2 linked regions of the Danio rerio genome follow. The protein of the gene in region 2 purifies or fractionates together with the protein of the main gene of each other region. This does not show direct contact. Links are inferred from orthologs where the notes say so. Each region holds a gene or a part of one and is shown on either strand. Other genes may lie near its edges.

What was found.
Region 1: the proteins of vps45 (region 2) and rbsn purify together in Homo sapiens (affinity purification with mass spectrometry; 4 studies listed by BioGRID and IntAct, counting the BioPlex papers as one, with this or other methods). This does not show direct contact. The link is inferred for Danio rerio from reciprocal best matches to the Homo sapiens genes VPS45 and RBSN.

Annotation. Positions count from the first base shown.
Region 1 is NC_133183.1:63,169,218-63,173,463, reverse strand, and holds the start of rbsn (rabenosyn-5), read left to right. Parts: upstream 1-1,444; 5' UTR 1,445-1,607; exon of another isoform or gene 1,608-1,640; intron 1,641-3,890; exon of another isoform or gene 3,891-3,948; 5' UTR 3,949-4,043; coding exon 4,044-4,206; intron 4,207-4,246. UniProt on the Homo sapiens protein: Rab4/Rab5 effector protein acting in early endocytic membrane fusion and membrane trafficking of recycling endosomes. Required for endosome fusion either homotypically or with clathrin coated vesicles.
Region 2 is NC_133194.1:45,250,890-45,254,856, reverse strand, and holds the start of vps45 (vacuolar protein sorting-associated protein 45), read left to right. Parts: upstream 1-1,165; 5' UTR 1,166-1,295; coding exon 1,296-1,388; intron 1,389-2,563; coding exon 2,564-2,698; intron 2,699-2,802; coding exon 2,803-2,863; intron 2,864-3,967. UniProt on the Homo sapiens protein: May play a role in vesicle-mediated protein trafficking from the Golgi stack through the trans-Golgi network.

The DNA.
Region 1 (4,246 bases), on a different chromosome or scaffold from region 2:
GCTAAGCAGGGCTGCGCCCGGTCAGTACCTGGATGGGGGACCACATGGGGAAGCTAGGTTGTTGCCGGAAGTGGTGTTAGTGATGCCAGCAGGGGGCGCCCAACCTGTTGTCCGTGTGAGTCCTAATGCCCCAGTATAGTGAAGGGGACTCTATACTGCTCAGTGTGCGCCGTCTTTCAGATGAGACGTTAAACCGAGAAGTTAAACTCTCTGTGGTTGTTAAAAATCCCAGGATGTCCTTCAAAAAAGAGTAGCGGTTTAACCACAGTGTCCTGGCCAAATCTGCCCACTGGCCTCTGTCCATCATGGCCTCCAAATCATCCCCATATCATCTGTCTCCTCTCCACCTATCTGCTGGTGTGTGATATGCGGTCTGGCGCAATATGGCTGCCATCAGGTCATCCAGGTGGATGCTGCACTCTGGTGGTGGATGAGGATGTGTATGTTACCCCAATGTGTAAACCGCTTTGAGTGTCCAGAAAAGCGCTATATTAATGTCAAATGTCTTATTAGAAGTATATTTATTAATATACTTTTTTACTGTTTGATTAATCAGTGTCTTGAATGATGAATTAAATAAACATTTAACTATTTATTTATACATGAATTATTTTTTAATGCAACGCTTTATTTCTTTATTAAATGACCTTTAAAAACACAATTTAAATAAACACATTTAACTACGTCTATTTATTTGTCCATCATTTGCTCAATTATATTGGCATATTTTTTATACATTTCTATGCTTCAACTATTAAATTGATGAATTTATTATTTGTTTTATTTCTAAATGGCACTCCTGGTCCTCCATACCAATGATATCTATGACTGTTTCACAAATGTGCATTTAAAACAATTTGAATTAAATATGTGTCTGAGAAACTCATTACATTAATAATAATTAAATTAAACAAAAATTATATTGCTTAAACAGGACGTTTGCATACGGTTCAGGTTGGAGGGCAGTCTCAAATTTAAAGGGACAGTTCACCCACAAAATGAAAAGTAATTTACTAATAATAATTAACTCTATTATAATCAAATAATGTACTAATTGAAGATGTAGGTAATTTTTCGTCAATAGAATAAAAGTAATAGGGTTGTTGCTAGAAATGATACAGCTGCTGCCGCAGGTACACGATAGTTATTTATATTATTAATTTAATTACACAATAAATTGTGTTTTATTACCGCTAACCCTACCCTACCCCTAAAACCAGCCATCACAGTAATTTTAAAACAGTAATTATAACGATAATAATTTGTATTATTAAATAAATCACGCATTAAATTGTATTTTATCAGCGTCAACCCTACTCCAGCCGTCACAGTAATGTAAAAATATGTCGCAAAAAATATGCTATATATTGACGAGAGTATCTGCAGCTGTGTCTCATCTAGTAGAGGGGACTTTTATTTTGACACGACGCTCTGACGTGCGCGCGCGCTGTTCCTGTGATCACGCCTAGTGAACGGACAGTCACACGATCATCAGTATGATCTTCTGCGCTTTACTGTTCACGTAAAGCCTATTTAATATCGATATTTATCGCTATTTACTGCTAATTGCTTGATAAAGGGCTCAAAGCGGGTCTCCGATGAATAAGGTAGATAATTGTTCGTTTTTGGCATCTGTCAGTGTGCTTTAGCTGAGGCCTGTTCACAATCTGCTTGTTTACAATAGAGGACACACAATGTATTTGACTATTTCACTATTACTTAATACTATTTATTTATTCATCCAATGCAAGTATTTTAGGGTCATTTTAATAAAACATACTTCTTCTTTAGAACATAAAAGATTTGAAAACAACAGCGTTTAAATCCACACAATAATAGCAAGTTAGCATTAGTAAGAGAAGCAAAAACTAATCTCTTCAAAGAAATTGTCTTATGCTTTTTATAGAAAAATTATAATATACAGATAATATACATGTTTTACTGTATATACTGTTTACTATCTATACTGTTACTAATACTTTGACATGCAGACCACACTGGGTTGAGTAAATGATGACAGAATTATACTTTTCGTGTGAATTTGTAATTGTTTACAGCTTTAACATTCTTCAGATTTTTTAATATCCGTTGCTTATGTGTTATATTTGCGTCTCTTGTTATATTATGATGTTCATGGGAACCTATTCATTTCATTCAGTGTTCATGACCCTTCTAATAATACGACAACACAAAAACACATATGTTCATAGCATAGAGAGATTACTGATAATTAATGAACGAGTGAGTGAAAAAGCAGTGAAATATTGTAATCAAATAATTGTTAAATATAATGTTTTCCAACATCAGATGAAAACAATAAATAAAATGGACTTGTATAATATGCTATAGTGGAACTTCATCCAAAAGACTCAAACAGAAACTCTTATTTTATCATTATAAACGTTATCTTGTCGTTAATATACTTTTTAGATCTAAAGCAAATGTAGGCAGAGCTTGATTTTGTCAGCGGTTAATTGATTGGATGATTGTAGTTGGTTATTGGTGGATCTCATGTGAGTGACAGGTTGACTCCGCCCTCATGCCAATTAGCACCAATCACAAACGCCATTAAAAAGAGGAGTTTAAAGGGGTAGTTCACACAAAAATGAAATTTTACTCACTATTTACTCCTCCCCAAGTGTTTCCAAACCTTTATTAGTTTCTTTTTTCTGTTGAATACAAAAGAAGATATTTTGAAGAATGCTGAAAATTAAAACCATTGACTTCCACAGTACCACCAAATACTATAGAAGTCGATGGCTGTTTATTACTATACATATATTACTATATATATATAGCGAGGGGGATTGGTAAAATGAGGTGTCAGATCAGATTTTAGAGGTTCCAGATCCGGCGTGTATATATATATATATATATATATATATATATATATATATATATATATATATATATATATATATATGTGTATGTATATATATATATATATATATATATATATATATATATATATATATATATATGTGTATGTATATATATATGTGTATGTATATATATATGTGTATGTATATATATATATATATATATATATATATATATATATATATATATATATATATATATATATATATATATATATGGCTTAATTTGTGCTGGAACTATATATTTATTTATTTATTTATTTATTTTAATTAATTTAAAAATAAATTTAAGAAAAAAGTCAAAACTAGTTTTTAACAAGTAAAAGGTGATTAAATGATGACAGAATTGTCAGTTTTGGGTGAACTGTCCCTTTAAAGATTGCATTTAAGATAGCAAGATACATTTTACAATTTAACCAAAATTATATGCAAATATACTAAATACTAATGAGTCTTTATTTTTCCCTGACCTTAAAAGTGAACCAGAAATCTGTTTTATTGAAAGCATGAAATTGACATTTTTGTTATGAAGCATAATAGTGCAGGGCTTTTATACAAATACTTGAAGACAAAATGATTAGCCCTCCTGTGAAGTTTCAATTCTTTTAAATTCAGCATCTTTTCAAAGTAATGTTTACTTAAGGCGTAAATGAACAATAATAATGAAGTGTGGTCAGAAAACTGAGTTATATCCAAACACACGTCCTGTTCTTATGCCCCATATGCTGATGCAGACGTCTCCAAAACCCCACAGCTGGACACATCTACACTTGTGTTTATTAAAGCAAATATAAATATGCATATAATAAATAATACTGCTAATAATAGCAACAAATCACGTCATGCATGCCTTGTGCCTTATTGCATCAGGTCTATGGTGGGGACCTATATGTGTGTGTGTGTGTGTGTGTGTGTGTGTGTGTGTGTGTGTGTGTGTGTGTGTGTGTGTGTGTTTGTGTTTGTGTTTGTGTGTGTGTGTGTGTGTGTGTGTGTGTTTTTGTGACAACCTAGACGAAGCCTATGTAATGTCCCCACAATTCACAACTACAAATCAGTGTGTGTGTTACAGTGATGGAGAGGGAATGGATCGTCCTCTGCTGCTGTCCCAGCGCTGCTGCTGCTGCATAGACTCAGACTCTGCGCTTCAGTAGTTCTCTGTAGCCGATGGCCTCCATCTACTCACCGTCACTGGAGGACTCGGCGGAGGTGAAGGAGGGATTTCTGTGTCCGCTGTGTTTTAAAGATCTGCAGTCCTTCTACCAGCTGCAGGACCACTATGAGGAGGAGCACGCCGGAGACTCGCGGCACGTCGGCGGACAGCTCAAAAGTATGTCGCAATTAAGTCTGATTTGTGTTCCTTTTATTAT
Region 2 (3,967 bases):
CTGTCTAAAGGTAAACACTTTTTAAATCCCACCACTCTAGAGAAGGCTGTCCATGCTGTTATTACATCACGGTTAGACTACTGCAATGCACATTACTGTGGCATGTCAAAATCCCAGGTTTCTCGCCTTCAGTTGGTCCAAAATGCTGCTGCTAGATTTATTTGTAATAGCAGAAAACATGACCACATTCCCCCTCTTCTAAGAGGACCTCATTGGCTGCCTGTCCAATTCAGAATTGATTTAAAGTGCTTTTACTGGTAAATAAATCCCTCCATAATCTAGCCCCATCCCATCTCTCAGAGCTGCTTCATTTTTACACTCCCCTGAGATCTCTTATGTCAAGTGATCAGAATTTTCCTTTGGCGGGTCCTTGGTTGTGGAACACTTTGCCCCTTGAGATTAGAATGGCTCCACTATTATCCATTTTCAAATCACTTCTTAAAATATACATCCTTAGCTTGGCTTTTGAGATTATTTTAATTGTCCTTTCTACTGCTACATTTTACAGACGTTTCTCTAGCTTTATTTCTGTTTTTATATTCAGTCAGTCTTGTGACTGCTTTTAAATGTGCTCTATAAATAAATGAACTTGAACTTTATGAAATAAATTGTTTAATTGTAATGTGATTTTATTACTTTGTTTACAAGAAATAAATAGTGCACTAGGTTTATTATTTTAGTAACTTGAAAACGTACAGTATGAAATATTAAAGAAAAACATTTTAGAAATGAAATACAGCTAGTACATTAATTTCATAAAATTCATGAGCTAATTTCTAAACAGTAGAAGCTATGGATTTGAATCATATCCTGCAGTTGTTTTACTCTATTTAATTTTATCTATTTAATTTTTCTTTTAATATATATATATATTCATTTTAATCATGTATGTATTTTTTATTCAATAAAAATAATACATAATAGAAGCTAATAGTTAACAGCATCTGAAACGCTCTTTCGCCCTCACCAACATGGCGCCTCATTTACTCCGTTTTACGTAGCAGCCTTGAATTATGGGATATTTGTCATGTACTGCTACCAGATCAGTTACTACACAACACGACCATTCTAAACCCTCAAATCGTTTTAAATTCCAGCTGTTCCCAGATCAGAAGCAGACTGACGCCTCGCGTACACCGGAAGCACTAGTGGGTCTTCTCCCATTGTCAACAGTAAACTGTATACGTGAGTTTACTGATGAAAACTGCTTTATTCACCCTTTAAACAACATTGAAACCATCTGATAAATCGACTTATTCTCAGTAACACGTAGAATATATATATAAAACGCCAAAATGAACGTGACTCTTGCTGTGAAACAGTACATTTCCAAAATGATAGAGAGCAGCGGACCTGGGATGAAGGTGCTGCTGATGGACAAGGAGACGGTGAGTCAATTTAGGATATGCCACTGTGTTTTAAAGGCTTTAAAGATCAATAATAAAAGCGCACATATGTATGAACCACAGATAAACTAGTACTTTGTATAGTATAAATAGCGTTTGCTGACCTGTCATGTGTCAAACAACTGAACTTTAACTCTGAAGTAAATGGCAGTCAGCAGGCTAACGTTACATTGAGGTAAAGTTTATATTCGGACTTTCGCGTCCAATAAAATAGTGAAGCAGAATTTAAAAAGGTTAGGGTTAATACAGGTTGATTATAACGACGTACTGTTATGGACAATGATATGTAATCTCAAGGGGCGACACGGTGACTCAGTGGTTGCTGGGTCAGATGGCATTTCTGTGTGGAGTTTGCATGTTCTCCCCGTGTTGGTGTGGGTTTCCTCCGGGTGCTCTGGTTTCCCCACAGTCCAAACACATGCGCTATAGATTAAATAAATAAACTAAGTTGGCTGTGTGTGAATGTGATAGTGTATGGTAGTTTCCTAATACTGGGTTGCAGCTGGAAGCATATCCGCTGTGTAAAACATATACTGGATAAGTTAATGGTTCATTCCGCTGAATGAAGGGACTAAGCCGAAGTCGAATGAATAAATGTAAACTCAAAATAATAAATAATTCTGATAGTAAATTCTGAGGAAACAAATACTTCTGAATTTTTGTCACAATTTGTTTTTGTTTTCATCTCTCAAATAAGAAATGTTAAAAAGAAAAAATACATTTGCCTAAATTCTAAGAAAAAGTTAGAATTGTGAGATATCACAACAATAAAAGTTAACATATCGCTATCATTCCTTTTTTGCTACTTTTTTTTTCAGAATCAAGAGATGGAAACTACACTTAGGGTGCTTTCACACCTGTGAATTGATTCATTTGTTCAGAAACAGGGATTAAATTGTTACAGTGTTGCTCTTTGCTCTTGGAGCAGTTTGCTTTCACACTGCAAAGTTTAAATGGACCAAAATAGCTAAAACAAGTCATGTCCCTACTGAAAAAAAAAACAGTATAAACCAGCCTAAGCTGGTCAACCAAGCTGGTTTTAGAGGGGTGTTGGTCACTTCCATGCTGGTTTCCAAAATCACAATTTGCTCTTTATTTAATCTCGCTCCAAACCTGTAGACACCAGTACCAAACAGCATTGTTTATTTGTTTTCTAGACCAGTATAGTGAGCGTGGTCTACACACAGTCTGAGATCCTGCAGAAGGAAGTTTACCTTTTTGAGCGCATCGACTCACAAAACCGAGACAACATGAAGCATCTTAAGGCGATATGCTTTCTCCGCCCGACCAAGGTAGACCTGTTTTTAGTTTTATCATGGTCTTTGATTTAGACTAGACATGTCTAGATTATTTCATACTTCTATTATATAATATTTCACACCCTCTTTGATTTCAGGAGAACGTAGAGCACCTGATTCAAGAGCTTCGGCGGCCCAAATATAGTGTCTATTTCATCTGTGAGTGCAAGTAATTTACAGTTCAACACAAAAGCCATCCCATGAAGTATTTATTCTTTTTAAATGTTTCCCGAGTTATGTTTAATAGACAGATTTTTTTTCAACACTTTTTAAAATATAATTAATTTCTAATAATTTATTTATTTTGTCTTGACAGTACATACAATTTTGCTAGTTATTTAGCAAGATATAGTGTTTTGTTCTGTAGTCAAAAAAATGAGACATCTGTGACTCACCGGCCACTTTATTAGGTACACTGGTCCAACTGCTCGTTAACGCAATTTTCTAATCAGCCGATCACATGGCAGCAACTTTAATGCACTTAAGTATGTTACAAACAAGATATGCAGCAACATCTCTGAATGCACAACACGTCCAACTTTGAGGTGGATAAGCTACAACAGCAGAAGACCACACCAGGTGCCACTCCTGTCAGCTAAGAATTGGAAACTGAGGCTACAATTCACACAGGCTCACCAAAACTGGACAATAGAAGATTGGAAAAACGTTGCATGGTCTGATGAGTCTCGATTTTTTTATTTATTATTTTGCTGCGACATTCAGATGGTAGAGTCAGAATTTGGCATCAGCAACATCAAAGCATTGATCCATCCTGCCTCTTATGAATGATTCAGGCTGGTGTAGGTGGTGTAATGGTGTGGGGGATATTTTCTTGGCACACTTGGGCCCATTAGTACCAATTGAGCATCGTGTCAACACCACAGCCTACCAGATTATTGTTGCTGATCATGTTCATCCTTTTATGACCACAGTGTACCCTTCTTCTGATGGCTACTTCCAGCAAAATAACGCATCATGTCATAAAGCGTGAATCGTCTCAGACTGGTTTCTTAAACATGACAATGAGTTCACTGTACTCAAATGGCCTCCACAATCACTTGATCTCAATCCAATAGAGCACTTTTGGGATGTGGTGGAAAGTGAGATTTGCATTAGGGATGTGCAGCCGACAAACCTGCAGCAACTGTGTGATGCTATCATGCCAATATGGAGCAAAATCTCTGAGGAATATTTCCAGTACCTTGTTGAATCTCTGCCACGAAGGCTTAGCCAGTACTAGTAAGGTGTACCTAATAAAGTGGC